Macaca mulatta: one gene and its partners. The protein of the gene in region 3 interacts with the protein of the main gene of each other region in a biochemical or structural test. Links are inferred from orthologs where the notes say so. Each region holds a gene or a part of one and is shown on either strand. Other genes may lie near its edges.

Evidence for each region.
Region 1: the proteins of BCL2L1 (region 3) and VDAC1 form a complex in vitro, tested with the Homo sapiens proteins (4 studies listed by BioGRID). The link is inferred for Macaca mulatta from reciprocal best matches to the Homo sapiens genes BCL2L1 and VDAC1.
Region 2: the proteins of BCL2L1 (region 3) and BIK interact in a test that uses a peptide from one of them, tested with the Homo sapiens proteins (3 studies listed by BioGRID and IntAct, with this or other methods). The link is inferred for Macaca mulatta from reciprocal best matches to the Homo sapiens genes BCL2L1 and BIK.
Region 4: the proteins of BCL2L1 (region 3) and HRK interact in a biophysical measurement, tested with the Homo sapiens proteins (3 studies listed by BioGRID and IntAct, with this or other methods). The link is inferred for Macaca mulatta from reciprocal best matches to the Homo sapiens genes BCL2L1 and HRK.
Region 5: the proteins of BCL2L1 (region 3) and SIVA1 form a complex in vitro, tested with the Homo sapiens proteins (2 studies listed by BioGRID and IntAct). The link is inferred for Macaca mulatta from reciprocal best matches to the Homo sapiens genes BCL2L1 and SIVA1.

Annotation. Positions count from the first base shown.
Region 1 is NC_133411.1:142,905,587-142,909,876, forward strand, and holds the start of VDAC1 (non-selective voltage-gated ion channel VDAC1), read right to left. Parts: upstream 2,801-4,290; 5' UTR 2,738-2,800; intron 1-2,737. UniProt on the Homo sapiens protein: Non-selective voltage-gated ion channel that mediates the transport of anions and cations through the mitochondrion outer membrane and plasma membrane.
Region 2 is NC_133415.1:8,345,859-8,348,953, forward strand, and holds the end of BIK (bcl-2-interacting killer), read right to left. Parts: intron 2,489-3,095; coding exon 2,390-2,488; intron 1,709-2,389; coding exon 1,579-1,708; intron 1,014-1,578; coding exon 921-1,013; 3' UTR 513-920; downstream 1-512.
Region 3 is NC_133415.1:84,545,292-84,549,435, reverse strand, and holds the start of BCL2L1 (bcl-2-like protein 1), read left to right. Parts: upstream 1-1,343; 5' UTR 1,344-1,577; exon of another isoform or gene 1,578-1,775; intron 1,776-1,843; exon of another isoform or gene 1,844-1,861; 5' UTR 1,862-1,973; coding exon 1,974-2,537; intron 2,538-4,144. UniProt on the Homo sapiens protein: Potent inhibitor of cell death. Inhibits activation of caspases. Appears to regulate cell death by blocking the voltage-dependent anion channel (VDAC) by binding to it and preventing the release of the caspase activator, CYC1, from the mitochondrial membrane.
Region 4 is NC_133416.1:124,145,111-124,148,709, forward strand, and holds the start of HRK (activator of apoptosis harakiri), read right to left. Parts: upstream 2,365-3,599; 5' UTR 2,280-2,364; coding exon 2,004-2,279; 3' UTR 1,948-2,003; intron 1-1,947. UniProt on the Homo sapiens protein: Promotes apoptosis.
Region 5 is NC_133412.1:178,193,785-178,197,824, reverse strand, and holds the start of SIVA1 (apoptosis regulatory protein Siva), read right to left. Parts: upstream 2,807-4,040; 5' UTR 2,747-2,806; coding exon 2,629-2,746; intron 422-2,628; coding exon of another isoform or gene 227-421; intron 1-226. UniProt on the Homo sapiens protein: Induces CD27-mediated apoptosis. Inhibits BCL2L1 isoform Bcl-x(L) anti-apoptotic activity. Inhibits activation of NF-kappa-B and promotes T-cell receptor-mediated apoptosis.

The DNA of each region.
Region 1 (4,290 bases), on a different chromosome or scaffold from region 3:
AGTACGCGGTAAAATGGAGAAATGTGCCCAGACCCAGCTGAGAAGCCCACTGGTCACCTTTTCTCAGTGGCTACCACAGGAGTCCATGGAAAACCCAAAGCCGCAGACTACAGAATCTTGGAGCACTGGGAGGTGCTGCCTCCAGGCTTGGGCTGGTCCTCAGCCATACATGCGCCTCTCTGTCACTACCACTGAAGACACTGCACCATGGGAAATTCCATCAGGGCGAAGTGGACTTCAGTGCTTCAGGAGCATCTTCCTGGTAAGGGTGGAGGGTGGAGGCCCTTCACCACCCCAACATGTTCACTGTCCACACTCGCCTAGTGTTCAGCAAGGCCAGGGGCCCACAGGCACTTCATCCCTGTATGGTCTCCCACTTTCTATGCTACAAATAACCCCTGCCTACAGCCCCACTCTAGAATAGCAGAAATAAAACTAAATCATCAACAATGAGTAGTCCCCACTACCCAGAGGCAGGCACCCTACTCTGGACAACCCCAGCATAAGCTGTCCATCCACCCACCACGAGGGAAGGGGTAACAGACCCAACACCTTCTGTAGAATCCCAATCACCCACGTCACCCGCCCTGCAAGCCCAGAAACACCAGTTCAACAAGTTTCCCTCGGGACTTGGAAAACCAGAGAATGAAGACAATGTGTTTAAAGCACTTATTTCAAGAGACTATACAGTCTGTTACAGTTCTTTAAATATCTGTGACTCTCTTCTAGGTGAGGCTGTTTTCCACAAGTGAGATGTGTGTGTCCCTCAAAACGATGTCCAGGACCGGGCATGGTGGCTCACACCTGTAATCCCAGCACTTTGGGAGGCTGAGGTGGGTGGATTGCTTGAGGCCAGGAGTTTGAGATCAGCCTGGCCAACATGGTGAAACCCCACTCTACTAAAAATACAAAAATTAGACAGGCGTGGTAGTGTGTGCCTGGGATCCCAGATACTCTGGGAGGCTGTGGTGGGAGGATTGATTGAGCCCAGGAGATAGAAGCTGCCATGAGCCAATATGGTGCCACTGCACTCTGGCAACAGAGCAAGACCCTGTCTCAAAAAAAAGAAAAAGAAAAAACGTTTAGGATCAAAGGACTATGGTCTGGGCCTGCAGCCCTTCACATGCCCATTCAAAAATTCCACAAATACCTAATAAGCACCCACTATGTACCATGTACTGAAATAGTAAAACTCTGTCAATAAAGGTGGGTGGATTCTGATACAAGAGTGCATTTACCCCCACAGACCCTTCTCAAGCACCTACTGTGTGCCAAACAGCATCACGCCAGGCACTGAAGACAAAGTAGCACAGGGCCTCAGTGCCTCAGTCTGACCCTTAAGAGCTGAGTCGGTCCAGAGCTGGGGTGGGCAGAATGCAGGCAGGCCCTCGGTAGTCTGCCCTGGTCTTCCCCTGCCTCAGTGGAGAAGTTTAGGCAACAGAGGAGCCCTTTCCCTTATCTCCCCAGGAGAGGAGAGGCTAGTCAAGGGGACAGGGACCCCGGACCGATCAGGCCTCTAAAACAGGGTCTGCTCCTGCAATCAAGGTCTCCACATGCAAACTTACTGCTCGAGCTTGACAATGTCCATCTGTAAACTTACAACACTTTTCATAAATTAACGTGAAAGTTACTCAATACCTGGTATACAAATGCTTGTCAATAATAGTGCAAAAATGCTTAAAAACAGGAGCTACATTTATTGAACCCTTTCCACAACGCCACGTGTAGCAAAATGGTCTGCAGGGGATGGGCTGGATTCACCCAAAAAGCCCCAAGGGTGTCAGGGTTTCTACTTAGCCCTTCTCCATACCGGCACTGTTCTAAAGGTTTCATGTTAATTAATTCATTTTATTCTTCCCCAAAACTCAACGAAGGAGAGGTATAATTGCTCCCATCCTACAGATGAGAAAACGAAGGTCTGCGATCTTCCCAGCTGTGTGACCTTGTACAAATGACTAGGACTGCCGGCCTCTGATCCAACGTCAGGCTCCCAAATGCACCTCCGCGTTTGGCAAATGAATGAACGACCGAACCAGGAATCACTCCTAAGGCCAAGAAGGCCACATCCTTCCCCGTGGGGCCTCCTTTTCCTAGGCCAAACCTCCAGCCCAGGCCCGAGCTCCGGCCTCTACGGCCTAAGTCGACTCTCGGCCGGCGGGTTCCGCCCTAGAAGGCTCTGGCACAGGCGGGCGGTGCCGGGCGCCAGCTTCTGCGGGCGTGGGCCGGCCACGACGCGTGGGCCTGGGGACGCGGGGCCACGGTCGTCACGTGAGCTCATCCCCGCGGCGGCAGCGTGGCCGGCACCAGCCTGCTGGCCTGGTCCAGCGAGCGTGGGCGGCGAACGGGTCCCCGCCGGATCCACGCTGGTGGGATCCAGGGCCAGAGGGCGCCGCCGGGGAAGGTCACCTAGACGCGCGGCCCGCCGGGCCTCCACGCGGCCGCCCTTGCCCTTCCGCCCGCAAGCTCGGGACGCCTCTCGCCGCCAGCCGCAAGCGTCTCCGGACCCCCGGCCTCGCGGTCCCCAGCCCGGACCCGTTCGGCGCCCGCCTGCGCGGCCTTCTCTGCCCGCCAGCTAACCAGCCAGGCCCGCGCCAGCCGCTCGGGCTCCCTCCCCGGGGCCGGACTCCCGAGGCCCCTCGCCCGCTCCTCCCTCAGCGCCTCCCTCTCAGTTCCCCAGGGGCCCGGCCCCCGCCGTCCAGGGCGCAAGGGAGCCAGGGTCCTTTTCCGCTGCGCCTACCTCAGAGGCGGTGGCGGCGGGCTCGGAGGCGGCTACGGCGGGGGCTGCGGCGCGGACGCAGGGAGCGGAGCCGAGCAAGCGGCGGGGCCAAGGGCGGGGCGGCGCGGACGGCGGCGGCGCGGACCCGCCTCCCCTCTCGCGCGCCGGGTCCGGCGCGCTCCGCCCCCAGGCCCCGCCCGGGAAAGCGTCCGGGCCGGGCCGGGGTCCTCGTCCAGCTCGCGAGTCGCGTTCTTACCCTTCCGGGCCCCGCGGCCCCGGCAGCAGACACGGTAGCCTGCGGGCGCGTTGCGGACGCGCGGGAGGACCTGCGTGAGCCCGGGCACGGGGAGGCGCGGTATTGACGTGTGCACCGTGTGTGCGTGCGCAGGGACACGCGGGTTCTTGCTGGAAACCTCGGCCCCAGTGGCAGCGCTCGGGAAGGGGGAGGAGGCCTTCTGATTCTCTGAGCGGTGGCCCCGAGGTCCCTGCGCTAATGGAAGACGCGCGGGGCTTCTGGGCCTCCTGGTCGGCCTCCGCGCTGCTAGATCCCCCGGGAGTTGATGTGGCCGGCGCTGGACTCGAGCCTTGCCTGGGTGGACGAAGTGACCCCCGGCCCCCCATCAAAGCCCGGGTGGGCCCCATCCCCCGAGGTCAGTCTCAGGCCCAGCGCGGACACTGGGCGCTGGGAGCGGCGCAGATACTGAGTAGCAGCGGCGACTGTTGCTCCAGAGCTCCGCGCTCCGGATACAATGTGTCTGGCGCCTCCGACCCGCCCGCATGGCGTCTAGACAATCGCGGAGAAAACCCCTGTGTGCCGATTTTGCACCGCAGATTAGCGATTTTCTCCTGTAGCAAAGCTACTAACAGCCAATTTCCATGCATTCGAGAGGCAAAATAATAAAATAAAACGTGAATTGGGTTTTGCGAGGCTCCTGCTGGGTCTCTCGGCGCGAGGAAATCACGCCGGTTCTGGCCGGCCGGCCGGCTGAGGGCACCGCGGGGAACACGCGACCAGCCGGGGCCTGTGCTCCTGTGGGACCCAGTTAGTATGTGTTGAGTGAACGGTCACCTTCTCCTTGCTAGGCCTAAGCGAGTGGTCTCGTTCACCACTGAGTGTTCCCTGTGTTCCGCGCGAGGCCCACTTGAAGCGGGTTTCGAGAATTAATTCGTAGATGGACGAAGCTTCTGCACACCCTTCGCCTTTGATCAACAAACGTCCTCGAATGCTTCAGGCGTCTAGGGCCCTGTGGAGGAGGTGCCGGGTTACAGAATCAGGACACTCCTCACAGCCAGCAGCGACACTAGCTAAAGCAGTAGGCAACTGGGGCTGCGGAGGAGGCAATCAGGACTGGCTGCTGGAAAGAGACGGCAGATTAAATGTGAACGTGGCGACTTGAGTTAGAAAAGTTGTTTCAGTGGGATAGGGTGCTGAGGAACATGGCAGCTGATACAGAGTGGAAGTGGGGTGCAGACAGGGTGCCTAGGCCCTGTGTAGGAGCTGGGGGAGGGGTGACTGGGAATGTAAAGAAGAGCCTCCTTCAAGATCCTAGGGAGTGTAGGACGGATTCTATGAC
Region 2 (3,095 bases), about 76 Mb from region 3:
GTGCTAGGGGAGCCCCTCCTCCACCGCCAGCCTGCCCCCCAGGGCTCCTTGGTCACAAATCTGAAAGGTTGTAGAACCCAATTGGCCTTGGCAGTTTTGTTCACCCCCTCACTTGACAGCTGGGAAACAGAGTCCCACATTTGTTGACATACCCAAGACATATGTATTGAGTGCCTACTGTGTGCCAGAGAGTGAGGGGCTCTGTTCTGGTAGAACAGCCACGGCTGCGTCCTTCTGGCTGGAAGTCTGTGCAGGGAGAGACAGGCATCCCCTAAACAGGAACTGAAAGCCCAAAGGAAATAACCCCCAACAGTGGATTTTACGCCACAGACCAGGACAAGGGAGAAGGCAAACCGTTGGGCCAAACCAAGACGGCATTTGTGGTCCCCGGCTGCAGGGAAGGATCTGATTAGGAACACACAGGCCCTGCCCTCCCCACCAACACGGTGCGCCTCCCTGGGGCAAGAGGAAGCCTGTGCAGGTACTGCCAACTCCCAGAGAGGACCAGAGTCTGTTGGAAACCAACATTTTATTGAGCACTCCTGCTCCTTGGAATCTATTCCGGTAGATTCTTTGCCAAGGGCATCACACATCACACAGGGGTGTGGCCAGCACTCCCCCTGCTAACTGCCGTGTGGGCGGGGGCAGGAGTGAATGGCTCTTCCTGGGCACAAGCCACAGTTAACCGGCAACAAGTTCGGAGCCATAGGAATTCATCTCTTAGAAAAAACGAAAACTGGAATTTAAAAAAACACAAAAAACCTGAGTATAAAACCTCAGCAGTGTTCCAGCACTATCTCAGAGTTTAAATATAAAAAGGCATAATGAGAAAACAGTTAAAAAGACAACAGCAGCAGGCCGCCACCTCCAGGGCAGTGGTCACAGGGGTGGGGCCAGCCCTGCCCTGAGCCGCTGGGGCCTCACTTGAGCAGCAGGTGCAGGCCCCCGCTGAGCAGCGCCAGCAGCAGTGCCAGCAGCAGCAGCAGCACCAGCAGCACCTGTTCACGGGACACCTGCGGGAGTAAAACAGAGGAGTCAGGCTCGGAGCAGGCCCCAGCAATGAGGCCAGACGGGGTGACAGCAGAGTTCCAAGGGGAAGCCCAGGGAGGTGGGGACTGGGAAGCAGCTCGAGGGAACCAGAGAAGGAAGGAGTTCAGGAGAGGGGGAAAGTGGCCCTGAGGACATGGCCAAAGAGGCCAGCGGCTGCCAGTCTGTGGGACACAGGCAAAGGGTGGACACAGGTCAGGGCGGTTAGCTGCCCTGGTGGTGGGCAGTGCAGAGTGGCACCAGGCTGCCAGGACGGCTGCTCAGGGAGGCCTCTGCCCTGGCGAGGAGACGAGAATCCTGTCTGCCAGGTGAAGGCTCTCGGGCCAGAGGGAGACCCAGGACCACGCACTGGTTTGTGCACTCATAACCAGGAATCCCAAACTCAGAAGCCTATGGGACCAGGCGGATGTGGACAATGATGACACAGCAGATGACAGGGAGTGATGGGGACTGTGGCGCCCTGAGGAGCAGCTCTGACAGCCCCCACTGGCCGCAGAGCAAATCAGGGTCAGGAATCTCTAAGGCTCTTACCCAGGACCTGGGATTCGGGGATCTCCAGAACCTCATTATGTTCTCCCTAAGGGTGGTGAAACCATCCATGAAACTTCTAAGAACATCCCTGATGTCGTCCATCTGGTCGTAGATGAAAGCCAGACCCAGGCTACAGACAAAGAGGATGGGGGGACAAAGCCATTACTGCAGGAACAGGTAGGGACAGCCTGTACTTAGATGACACCATCACAGCTGTGGGGAGCAGGGGCCTGTGCCCTCCCACCCCACAGCCACGCGGGGCCCTTTCCATGGGCACCTTCACCTGCAGGGGCCTGTTTGTGGTGAAATTCATTCTGATTTCCTGCTTCCTTCCCCAGCCAGCCGCCTGCCAGTGTCCCTGTCTTCCGGAGCTGGCCACATAGAAAATAAACCCCCATTCTACAGGGCCCTGGCAAGCCACTGCCCACTCTGTTCCCCCACCGGAGACTAGCTGAGAGGCCCAGCCCTCAGGGTCTAGGATCCGAGCTTACGTTGCACCTCCTTTAAAGACCATGGTGGAAATGTACCATCTGGGCTTGATGAGGATGGCGAGAGAAGGGCCCTGGGCTCTGCTTTGTCTGTTGCCCAGGAATGCCAGGGACAGGTGGCAGGGGGCCAGTGCCAGGAGCTGGGGGCTCCCAGGGAGGTGCGGGAAGCAGCAAAGGGTTTCGGTACAGCCCCAGAGTGTCAGGATACATTCCCCACAGGGCTTCCCCACATTGCCCAGCCCTATGCTGCACTCAGGGCCTTTACCCACCGCCCAGGGCCCCTCCCCAGGTATAGAGGCCTGGGCAGGGCACAGGCCGGTTACCTGTGCATGGCCACCTCAGAGAGCTGGGCCAGGCGCGGGGCCCTGAGGCTCACATCCATCTCGTCCCCGATGCAGGCCAGCCGCAGGGCCAACATGTCACTGCAGGGAGCACACGTAGGAGTCGGGGTGTGGCTGTGCTGTGGAAGCCACATGTACCTGGACCCACCCAGCCAATGGATTGTGTGTGGCTGGGAGTGGCCCAGAGGATAAAAGATGGTGTCAGATTCGGGGCAGGCATTGAGCGGGCCTCCCTGCATCCCTCCTCCAGCTCCCACTTGGATTCAGAGATACCCGCGAGGTCCCATCCGTGGGTGGCCCCAGAGGTGCCAGAGACACCAGGGAGCAGCACTGCCTGCGTGGCGAGTCCCAGGCCTTCTTGTGCCCGTGACTGCCCACTAGCGTCAGCAGCAGGTGAGTCTCCTGAGGCAGCCTGCCCGTGCACCCAGGGATGCCTGAACATCCAGAACTCGGTCTCTGAACTTCCCTGAAGAATCCTGGGGCAGGCCCACCTGTGGGCTTTGGTGGAAACGGTGGACAAGGGGAACAGGCAGGTCTGGGGAGTGCTGAGCGCCCTGGATGGCTGAGGCTGGCTTCCCACAGGGGTTGCAGCTTACCTTCCTTTGTGGGAGGTGAGGGGGCTCTAAGACCTGTGTCCTGGTTCCCAATCCTGAAACCAGCCTTGTTGGCACCACCACTCTCAGAATGG
Region 3 (4,144 bases):
GCGATGCTTCTTCTATATATAAACTGACGGACGGATGAAATAGGCTGATTGACTGATGACTGACTGACTGACTGAATTAATGAATACATGGAAATGTGATTATAAATGTTGATTTTTTGCGCCTTCCGATTCCCCGGATCTACCGCGAGGGGGCGATCTCTCCCCGGTCCTGATGCCAGTCACTCAAGGCGCGCACTCCCTTTGCGTCTCGGGCTCGCGCGCGTTGCCGCAGCACCGGAAGTGACTGAGCTTGCAAGTTCCCCCGTCTCTTCAGGGGAAACTGAGGCCGGCTTGTTCGGGAGAGACGGCACGAGCAGTCAGCCAGGTAGGCCGGCAGCCAGGTAGGCCGGCCCGGGTCCGCGGCGCGGAACTCGGCCGCGAAGAGCTCTCGCGTCTGGAAGCTACCGGGCCGATGAAGGGGGATGTGGCCCCCCACGGCTCGCGGGGCTCACAGGTGAGAGCGCCGCCTCCCCTGTGCCTGACAGCCGCTGCGCCCAATAGGAGCCTTCGCCGTCCCGCTTCCGTGCCGGCTAGGCTCGCTGATTGGCGGCGCTGGGGAGGACCGCCGGGGGCGAGGCCCCTCCTCCTAGAAAGGTCTAGGGGGCGCCCCCGGGGGAGGGCGGTTGCTTAGCAACGGGGCGGTGGCTCGGCGGGTACCCGGCCTAGTGAGCGCGAGAAGCCGCGAGGCCGCAACCGGCCCACCCTGGGCTCCGGAGAGGTGCAGCCCCCGGCCCCGGAGCCCTCCCGGGGGCGCCAGGAAGCCACTTTGGGCCTGTCCCCAGGAAAACGTGGTCTCAGCTGTGGGGCCGTCGAGCAGGCCTCGACCCCTCTTCCTGACCTGAGGAGAGGCCCAGCGCCTCACCCTCACCCAGTCTTTGTGCAGGGCGCCGGCGGCCATTGTGTCCGGGCGGGGAATGGAGGACCCGGCAATTCCCCACCGCCACGTTCAGGGCCTTTGGGGAATTCAAAGAAAACCAGCGGCATTTGTAGGGGGTCTCCGGCCTTCAACCTCCCAGACAGGCCTGGGGGTGGCCTTCCCAAAGTCAGATCGCAGATCCGAGGCAGTTTCCCCCTCCCTGCGTCCCTCACCGAAACCTTGAACCCCATTGAGAAGTCCCTTCAGGGTTTCGGACGCCTCCACCTCACCCTGGGCTGGTACTTAAATAGAAAAAAGAAAGGAAAAAAAAAAAAACAACTAAATCCATACCAGCCACCTCCGGGAGAGTTCTCCTGGCTCCCAGTAGGAGGCGGAGAGCCAAGGGGCGTGCAAGAGCGAGGGGGCTGGGCTCCCGGGTGGCAGGAGGCCGCGGCTGCGGAGCGGCCGCCCTCGATCCGGGCGATGGAGGAGGAAGCAAGCGAGGGGGCTGGTTCCTGAGCTTCGCAATTCCTGTGTCGCCTTCTGGGCTCCCAGCCTGCCAGGTCGCATGATCCCTCCGGCCGGAGCTGGGTTTTTTGCCAGCCGCCGCGAGGCCGGCTGAGTTACCGGCATTCCCGCAGCCACCTCCTCTCCCGACCTGTGATACAAAAGATCTTCCGGGGGCTGCACCTGCCTGCCTTTGCCTAAGGCGGATTTGAATGTAGGTGGTGCGGGGGAGGGGGAGTGAGGGGGGGACTGCCCAAGGGGTGACTTTCCGAGGAAGGCATTTCGGAGAAGAGGGGGGTAGAAAAGGCTGGTGGGAGATTCAGAGTCCACTGGTGCTTTCGATTTGACTTAATTGAAGTATCTTGGAACCTAGATCCAGACCTTCGTAAGACCCACAAAGAAACCAGTTCTGGTACCTGGAGGGGGAATGGGATGTTTAGGGTAAGTGGCATGCATATTAATTTTTTTTTTTTCCTAAAGCTCTTTCTCTCCCTTCAGAATCTTATCTTGGCTTTGGATCTTAGAAGAGAATCACTAACCAGAGACCAGACTCAGTGAGTGAGCAGGTGTTTTGGACAATGGACTGGTTGAGCCCATCCCTATTATAAAAATGTCTCAGAGCAACCGGGAGCTGGTGGTTGACTTTCTCTCCTACAAGCTTTCCCAGAAAGGATACAGCTGGAGTCAATTTAGTGATGTGGAAGAGAACAGGACTGAGGCCCCAGAAGGGACTGAATCGGAGATGGAGACCCCCAGTGCCATCAATGGCAACCCATCCTGGCACCTGGTGGACAGCCCCGCGGTGAATGGAGCCACTGGCCACAGCAGCAGTTTGGATGCCCGGGAGGTGATCCCCATGGCAGCAGTAAAGCAAGCGCTGAGGGAGGCAGGCGACGAGTTTGAACTGCGGTACCGGCGGGCGTTCAGTGACCTGACATCCCAGCTCCACATCACCCCAGGGACAGCATATCAGAGCTTTGAACAGGTAGTGAATGAACTCTTCCGGGATGGGGTAAACTGGGGTCGCATTGTGGCCTTTTTCTCCTTCGGCGGGGCACTGTGCGTGGAAAGCGTAGACAAGGAGATGCAGGTATTGGTGAGTCGGATCGCAGCTTGGATGGCCACTTACCTGAATGACCACCTAGAGCCTTGGATCCAGGAGAACGGCGGCTGGGTAAGAACCAAGCCCCTTGTGTGTCCCTTTTCTTTGGCCTCTGGTCAGAGATCCCCAACTGCCCTTCTTCTGTATCTCTTTCTGTTAGGTTGGGTGATTGTTGGAGACATTGATAGTTGAGGAAACCTGATCTCATTTCACGACAAGAGGTTAACTCCCTGGAAATATAAATGACCCGGTGCTTCAGAGATCAGGCATCTTTTACCCTGGTCACCCCCATGACTCCACTATTCCATACTTGTGTTCCAGTTTCTTAGCAAAGAAAATTATAGCCTATGTGTTCATTAAGTCCCAAACCTGTGAGGGTAGGAAGTTAGTTTGGTGTTTCCCTTACCGTATACAATGGTTCACACACAAAAGGGTGATGAGTATCAGTGACCCACAGACCTCTCCATCTGTTCCCCCTAGGGGTCTCAGTCCTATCCTGGGCTTCTCTTCTCCAAATCAAGTTCCCTTGGCCGGGCGCGGTGGCTCAAGCCTGTAATCCCAGCACTTTGGGAGGCCGAGACGGGCGGATCACGAGGTCAGGAGATCGAGACCATCCTGGCTAACACGGTGAAACCTCGTCTCTACTAAAAAAAATACAAAAAATTAGCCGGGCGAGGTGGCGGGCGCCTGTAGTCCCAGCTACTTGGGAGGCTGAGGCAGGAGAATGGCGTAAACCCAGGAGGCGGAGCTTGCAGTGAGCTGAGATCCGGCCACTACGCTCCAGCCTGGGGGACAGAGCGAGACTCCGTCTCAAAAAAAAAAAAAAAAAAAAAAAAAAAGTTCCCTTTATTTCAAAGTTTCCGTGTAAGGCACTCTTCTCTCAGACTAGGGCATGGCCACAGGCAGGAGTTCCCACTGGGTTGAATGGCTGAGAATTGTCAGATTTTGGGGCAGTGTAGGCTGTGCAGATTGTGTTTGCACTGCGCCCCCTAAGTTCATTTCCCCCAAAGTGTGTGACTTTCTGCATGGTTGCCTTGTTTGTGGAGCACTTGCTGTGTCACACATTAAGCCCGGGAACTTTGCACCTCGTTGCCTGGGGTCGGTTGGGGAGCTCCAGCTGCTCTGCCTGTTACTTTCCGGCCAGAGCCCTGGGGCCTCTTCACCAAGCACTGTTTGCTGGCAAAGCAAGAACCCAGTCTTTGGGGCTCTGTGGGACATTCAGATTTAGTAACAGACTTCAGATGCAGGTATAAGTCCCTGTCTTAAAACTCTGTCATGTATCTAGCTCCGTCATATAGCTGTGTGACTTTGGACAGGCTGGGTTACTTTCTCAAGGCTTAGTTTCTTCCACTAAAAATGTGGCAAGCTCTCCTTGACTTACAGAGTATTGTAAATCTTGGCAATAATGTGAGCACAGTGACCAACACCAGCAAATTCCCTTTCCAGGGAGGGAGAGTTCTCCTGCTCATCACTGAGCCAGGATGAGGTGGTGGTGAAAGCTTCTTCACCAGTGGTCACTGTGGGCAAGTTTTGCTCTTCAGTGAACTCAGTCCTGGTTTCTTGCTTATTTCCTTACCTAGGGGAGGTGCAAGGTTTATGAGAGGTATTCTATCCCTTCAGAATATGCAGAAAAGCAACAAGCTGTGGAAAATAAGTCATCCATTGAAGGAGCTGAGGTG
Region 4 (3,599 bases), on a different chromosome or scaffold from region 3:
CTGCCCGCCCCTCCCGCAGCCTCCCCTTCCAGGCCCCGGGAGCGGTCCCATCCCTGACACTTAACACACCGGTAAACGGGAACACAGTCAGGCTCCGGCCCGAATCCTCCGCCTCCCGGGAGGGTGCACCCGACATCCCGCACGCCTGGTCCCAGGAGGGGAGCGCTTATCCAGTCTCCTGGACAACAGAACCAGAGAAAGACGTGTCCCAGCCCTCTCCACAGTGCTATTTGATTTTACTCCCTTCCTCTCTTTCCTTCTCATTCACTTTTCAATTGTCTTGCAACTTGTTTTCCAGGCAGTTTCTCTTTTTCTCTATCCTCCCCAAACTTCTTGTCCCTCCCCATCTCGTCGCCTGTTTTTTCTCTCCCTCTTCACCCACTTTTTCTTCTGCCTCTTCCCAAATTCCACGCTTTGGACTTCGCGTCTGTCGCTCAACTTCCTTTTTCTGCTCCCCGCGATAGATCTAAAATGTTTTTCCCGTCCCTGGAACTGGGCAGCCTCAGCCTGACCCCTTTCAGTCGCGGGAGCTCCCAGCCTCTCCAACAGGAAAGGGAGAAGGCGGGGAGAAGTGGATGGGACCCCCGGCGCCCGGGAGCCGAGCGGAGAGCGCCCCGAAGTGCGCACTTCTCTTTGCCAGCGCCCGGGCTGCGCGGGCCCACGCGACATCTGTCGCCTGCGGTCCCGGCTCACACCCCGCGCACCCCCGCAGCTCCCTGGGCGCTGCCACCCCCCACGCTCCGGCTGCCGCCTTTCCCCGCGGGCGCAGACGCTCGGGCCTCGCCTTCGGGCGCCGCTCCAACTTCCCAGGGTGTCTGCGGCGCGCGGCGGGGCTCGGCGGCGGGGACCCAATGGCGGCTGGCTATGTCACCTTTGATATTCACCTTCCGGCCCTAGACTCATCTATGGTGGGCTCAGCCTGATTCTCCCTCATTTTCTGCAGCGCTCCTCGCTACTCCAGGATCCAGAGTAGTAAGACGATGCTTACACTGTGCGCTTCCTCAAAGCGCCTAGCACAGTGCCAGGCGCACAGCTAGGGCACAATAATTCCCCCACCCCAAGAACCTAGTATCTTCCTCCCACTGATACCGACCACACTAGGCGCTCAATACCCACTTCCCGTCCTAAGTTCTCAAAGCATTACCCCCCTAAACAGTGCCCAGCACCCCGAAGGAGCTCAATAAATGTTCCTTCCTTAAGGCTTCCCATTGGAGTTTGCCTGAAAGCCTTCTATTCCAGCCCACTCCGAAGGCGTCTCCTTCCCATCGCAGCTACAACCGTCTGGAGAGAAGGAAGCCAAACTCCTTAAACAGGACACCTCACTGGAGAAGGAGCGACGTTGGCAGGGCAGAAGAAAACTGCAAATGCGCGGAGCTTGGGAAGAAAGATTGGGCCAGCCAGAAACCTGGAAGGGGAGGAAGTCTCGAGATGCGCTTGCGGTGCCAGAGAATGGGGATCAGAGATTGGAGAAGTGACACTTAGGGAGAAGAGGTTGGGAGCAAAGGTGATGGAGACGGTGGCGACTCAGGAACAGCAAGAGGCTTGGAAGGGGACCGAGGACCTTTCTTGGAACTGCGATAGACTTTAAGTATTTGGCGTGGCTTACAACTATATTCTCATCGCAGGCACACTTTTTATTTGCATTGTGTGTTTATTTGTGGGGCTGGTGGGGATTATGGAGGTTGAAGTCCTCCTCAAGCCACCGAGCTATAAGTGAGTAGCAAGATGCGCTTAAGGACTCGGAGAGATAGGGGCAGAAATGGTGGACCTGACACTTGGAAGGAAAGACTGGGGACTGGGTAGGAGAGGGGGGCCGGAGATGCTTGCAAGAGAAAAGAACGGAGGAAGAAGGAGAAGGGAAGAGAAAAAAGCCAAACTTGCCACTCTCCCGCTCCCGGGCCAGTGCCCAGCTGCCGCGCCCTGGCTCTCGGTCGCTCGCTCGCGTACCTGTTGCTTGCTCCGGCTGGGTCTCGGCTCCGGCCCCACCAAGAAGCCCCGCGTTCCTACAAGTTCCGCCTGCCGAGCAGCCAGGCCGCCAGCGCCGCCACCTGCGCGGCCGCGCACAGCCAGGGCCAGTAGGTGGGGAGCGCGCCGGACGCCGGCGCCCTCCGGCTCCGCGCGCGGCGCCGCCACATGGTGCGCTGGTGCAGCTCGTCGCCAAGCGCCTTGAGCCGGGCGGCGGTGAGCTGCGCGGCGGACGAGCGCAGCCCCAAGCGACCCGCGCTGCAGGCGCACACGGCCGGGGGGCCGCGGCCGCGGTGCAGGGGGCACGGGCACATGACCGCTGGCCTCGCTCCCGCCCCGCGCTCGGGCCGCCCCTCGCCTCCTCTCCCTCCGGCCTCTGCGCCCGCTGCCGCCGCGCTCCAGCCGCCGGGGGCCTCCCCTGGACACCAAGTTTCTCCTTGTGTTGTGCGTTTGTTGTGCTGACGGCGCTATTATTAATTAAAGTGTCACATGGTGGAGGGGGGCGGGGAGGGGGGTTACATCATCCGGCCCCCGGGGGTGGGGGGGGCTGCAGGCAGAAGAAACCGAGAGGTAACTTTTAACCCTAGCGGCGCCGGCAGCAAGGGGGCGCGAGGTTTGGGAGACCCGGAGCGCGGCGCGGGGCGACGCGAGAAGGCGCCCCGCAGCGGAGGTCCCGGGCTTTGGGGGTCTCAGGGGACCCCCGCGGAGGCGAGGAGCGCGAGGGAAGGTTGTTCTCCTTCCCCTTTTCCTGAATTCAGCTCGAGTTCCGATTTGGCGAGGGAAGAAGGCTTGTTTGCCGTTTTGGATGAAGCTGATACTGAATTCGGCTGCATTATTCAAAAATATTCCGAGGCTGTTGTTTTGTTTGGGGGAGGTGGGTGGATTCAAACTCTTACGGAAGAGCAAGATTACACCTAACTTGCCTCGTTTCAGGTCTGACTTGGCACCTGTAGGCATTTAGCCTGACCCTAACGCGGCCCCAGCGCCTGGCTAGAAACCCTGACGTAGGCGTGATAGGGGGCTGGATGGGTCGGTCCTGAGCTCGCGAGGGGCGTGGATGGAGGCATTCTCGCTGCCCAGCACCCACACCCAAAAGACCCTCACAAGGGGCTTTCTAAAGGGAAACTTCTTGTCTGCTTTCTTTGTGAATATTATTTTCCTGATGGGGTTACAGTTTTCTGCGACGATCCCAATTTAATGCGCAGTGAATACCCTAAGGAGTCGGCGAGAGGAGGGGCGCGGGGGACTTTAATTCCTCCTTTTTCAACCCGACAGCCACTCCTGTGCACCTCCAGACTGGAGCGTCTGGAATTGTCACAGCCAGTGACGGTTCAGATGGGCTGGGCGGCTCTCAGCATTCTGTGGGGGGAGAATGAAACCTGCGATCTTAAATCGACTGGGATTCAGACAACTTTAGGATTCAGACGATCGGGATGAGTCCAGAGGTGGCTCCAAGTTGGGAGTCTGGAACCTGCTGAGGAAGCTTCCATTCTTTCCTTCCCACCGCACAGTATAACCAAGATTCTTCAAGTCTGTGAACTTAGTTTTGGTCTGAATTGATCAGGAGGAGAAATGTCCCTTTTGGCCTACAGCGTGTTGAAATGACAACAAAGTCAGGGGTCAGAGCTCACAAC
Region 5 (4,040 bases), on a different chromosome or scaffold from region 3:
GTCTCTGCTGCTTTTCTGGCCCAGTAGTTAGAAACTATTTAATCACTTCCAGTCTTGAATGTGAGACCTCCTGATAACAGGAGCCTTCTGAGCCAGAAGGCCAAGCTCTAGGTCAGACTCCTGCTTCCCCAGGGAGGAAAAGCCTGAGCTTGCAAATGAAGAAAAGTGCCTGTGCCACCACCTGCTCTCAGTGCCACAGCCACGAAGGGCTGCTGGTGCCACTCACCAGCTTCGGAGGCCTGCCCAAGGCTCCTGATCAGGCGGCCGTCTGGTCCAATCAGCATCTGCCCACGTGCAGCCCTCGGCGCCCCTGTAGGGCCAGGCTTTGGGGACTCTGGCAGGTGAACGACGGCACAGCCTTCATCCCACACATGGTCCAGGTAGGCCTGGGCCCCGAGGAAGAGGAGTCGCTTGGTCTTCTCTGGGGGAAGACAAATCATTCTCACATCCTTCACTGTGTACCAACGAAGCCCCTGCATGGCCACTTAGTCTTTCCAGCCTCACATGAACCCCATCGTCCTCCTGTGTGCCCTCTGTCACCCAGTGACCCCAGCCTGTGTTGTGCCCTGGCGAGCTGGGTCCTGCTCTGCCTCTGAGAATGCTCGTGCCTCCCTTCCTTACCTGGCTTAGTTGTCATCTCCTCCAGGAAGGCTCAGGCCCTGCAGCCCCACCTGTGCCTGATGCAAGGGTTCCCTCTCCTATCACTCTGCTCACTTTCGGCAACTCACGGCCGGCCTTGCCTCACTGAGCTTGTTCCCCTTTCTCCCTTTTCTGCTTCCCCAGCACTCCTCACCTGGAAAGCAGGCTCTGTGGAATGCACAGAGGGAGCTCTGCACTGTGGAGCACTAATTCACAAAGCTTGTCACTGCCAAGGAAGCAGCCAGAAGCTTGGAGCTGGGCCTGCAGCCTCTGGCCAGCGCACACCCCCTTCGCCTGCTACAGAGTTGCTGGCAAGACAAGCATCCCAGAACCTTCCAGATCTCGTTCTAGAATACCCACCCATCCCTGGGAGCAGTGATTTTCCATCAGGCCACAGTTCAGTCACTGGGGGAGGTTCCAAAAATCAGATGCCCAGGACCAGACCCAGAAATGCTTTGTTTTTGCTTTTTTTTTCCCACCTCATTATAACACAGTAAAGGCAGAGATCCCAGAAACTCTATGTGGCTTTACATGAAATGGGCAGCAATAATAGTGGGTAACTCAAATGGAGTAGCTGATGCCAGCCCACAACACCCTGCACCTCTTCCTCCTGGCCCCCCATACCTTCCCCCATCTATAATGGGAAAGGAATGGGACAGACATGTGGTGAGGCTAATCCTTGTCCTTAAGGCCTTGTGGACAATTCGAGGTTAAGAGATCAGGGTGACAGCTGTGGCCTGGAATTTGGAAACTGTCACACAGTTCAAAGTAGGTGTCCTGCATTTACCTACTTTGTAAAGAGTAAAGAGCCAGACTGAGCCAGGCCCGGTTTCCATCTTCCTTTCTTGCCTGCACAGTGTTTGAATTTTTCAACTGTCCTGAGAGGGCAGGCGCCTGCAGTCCAGCCACAGTTCCCATGGCATCATTCCTCTTAACTCCGCATGGCCCGGGATAGCACTCGCTTGCACAGCCCTAGCACACTGGAGACACGGCACACAGGAACCTCGGGAGGAAGCGTCTTTCCTTCATCCCCAAGGCACAAGCGGCACCAGACAAATCACACCCCCCGGGTCATCCTCTAACGGCTCTACAGGTGCAGACCTTGTGCCCCAACCACTAGGCAAGGTAAGCTCCACTTTGCACCTGCCCCAGGGTATTAATCATCCCAGTCAGAGTGATGATCAATAAGACCAACACGCCTGAAATCCAAGGGAGAAAGCCAGAGAAGGCCTGGGAGCTCACTGCCCTCACATCCCACCCAGAACTGGACATTCCAGCCACACGGAGTCCTACTTCGCTCTCCTGCTGCCTGGCTTCTGCCTCGGCCTCTTCCGTCCCTGCCTCTGCCTGGCTAACTCGCACTCTCCCCACAGGATTCGGCTCAGACTCTGTTCTTCCGAGAAGCCTTCCATGCCGTCCCTGCAGGTGCGACTGCACAAACCTGTGCCTGCCCGGATCACCTGTGGCGATTCCTTCTCCTGCTGGTCTCCCCAACTAGGTTGGGGAGCTCCCGGGAGACGGGACACATCTGTCTTGCCCGCCTTTGGTCTCCCAGGACAGCCGCAGTGCCTGGCAGGGGCGGCGCGCTCCATGAATACCTCTTGGGTCAGGAGGGGCACTCTTCAGGTTAACTCCATGCAGGACGCCCCGCTCCCCGACCTCTCCCAGGGCATCCTGCACGGGACAGTCCTGAAGAAGCACCAGGCAGCTGCCGCTCACTGAGGGGCGGCGACTAACTGGGATCGTGGAAGAGGGCACGGGGACTAAGGGCAGCGACCCTCTTCTTTCAGGTTGTTGGACAAGGTGGGTGAACGCTGGGGTCCTCACATCCCCCTCACTGACTCCAGCCCTGGGCGTGGCCAGCTTGTGTAACCGCGGCCAGAAAGCAGGGCCCTCGAGCCCCCCGCTCAGGCCTCAGAGGAGACACTGAGGCCCGGCCCGTTCCAGGCCCCGACGCAGTGGACCCTCGGCAGCCCTTCCGGCACTCACCGAAGACCTCCTGCGAGTAGCGCTCGGCACACACGCCGCGGCTCACCTCCCTCTGGCCCACGCGGACCTTGAGCTGTAGCGGGGCCGCGTCCGCGAAAGGGCAGCCCCGCTTGGGCATTGCCTCGGGGCCGGGAGCTACGCAGCCCCCCGGCCGCCAGCCCCTTACCAACGACGCAGTGACGTCACAGCCGCGCGCCCATCCGCGGGCGTGAGCGGGTTTGAGGCAGAGGAAGCGACGCGGCGCGTGATAGGCTGCGGGTGAAGTGGGGGGCGGGGCTCCTGCGCGGAGCGGCGCGGGATAGGCGGAGGACGAGATCGGGGGTGGGACTCATATGCCGGTGTACTGGATTCGACCGCGCGGGAAAGGCCAGGGGCCAGGTTGAGGATCAGGGTGGGCGGGTCTGTGGGAGGGATTTGTGCGCACGCGGCTCAGGATAGGCGGGAGGACAGTCTAGGGGCGGGGTTCCTATGCAGTGCGAAGCGAGGTAGGCTGGGAACCAGGTCAGGGGCGGCATTCGGCTGCGCGGGAAGAGCCAGCGGGTGAAGCCGAGGGTCAGGACGGTGCAGCAAGGGCGGTGCGTTTAAGGGGCGGAGCTTGTGCATCGGGGGCGGGCCTCGTTTGAGGATCGGCGTGGGAAACGCCAGGGCGACGTCGGAGCGGGTCTAGTTTGAGGAACGGCGCGGGATTGGCCAGGGGACGGCCGGGTCGGTGGCGGGATTCCTGTCAGCTTTTGTTTGATGCCTAAACAGTAGACACTGGTTATAGTTCCTCATTTACTTCTCCGAAGTTAAGGGGCAGTCCGCTTTTTCCTAGCTCTTTTTTCCTTTTAGAGACAGGGTCTCGCTCTGTCACCCAGACTGGAGTGCTGTGGTAGTCTCGGCTCACTGCAGCCTCCGCCTTCCGGGCTCAGGCGATCCTCCCTCCTCTGCCTCCCGGGTAGCTGGGACCGCAGGCGCGCGCCTCCGCGCTCCGCTTTTCGGTTTTGGGTAGGAACGGGGTTTCGCTCTGTTGCCTCGGCTGGTCTAGCTCCTCGCTGTGGCGGTCCCCGCCTTCCGGAAGTAAAGGCGTGTGGGGGCTGCGCTCCGAGGGCCGCGTGCGGCTGCCGAGCGCCCCCGGGCGGGGGTGTGTGGAAAATGTTCTTGCACAGCGGGGTCGTCTGACTTGGGGTCCCCAGGCCGCGCGGTGCACCCGCGTCGTCCCTTCTCCGGGGTTCTGCTCACCAGAGGCGGCTCTCCCCTGCCCGGCGGGTGCAGAACCGACGCGTCCTGTGGCGTGGGCTTCACCTTGGACTATGTTCTCCTCGCGGCTCGGTCGGCGCCGCCTCCCGTGTGAGGAGCTGACGCCTGGAACCCTGCAAACCCATCCCGCGTGACACCCGCGGCGCAGCTGCCCGCACCCCCTCGGAGGCAGC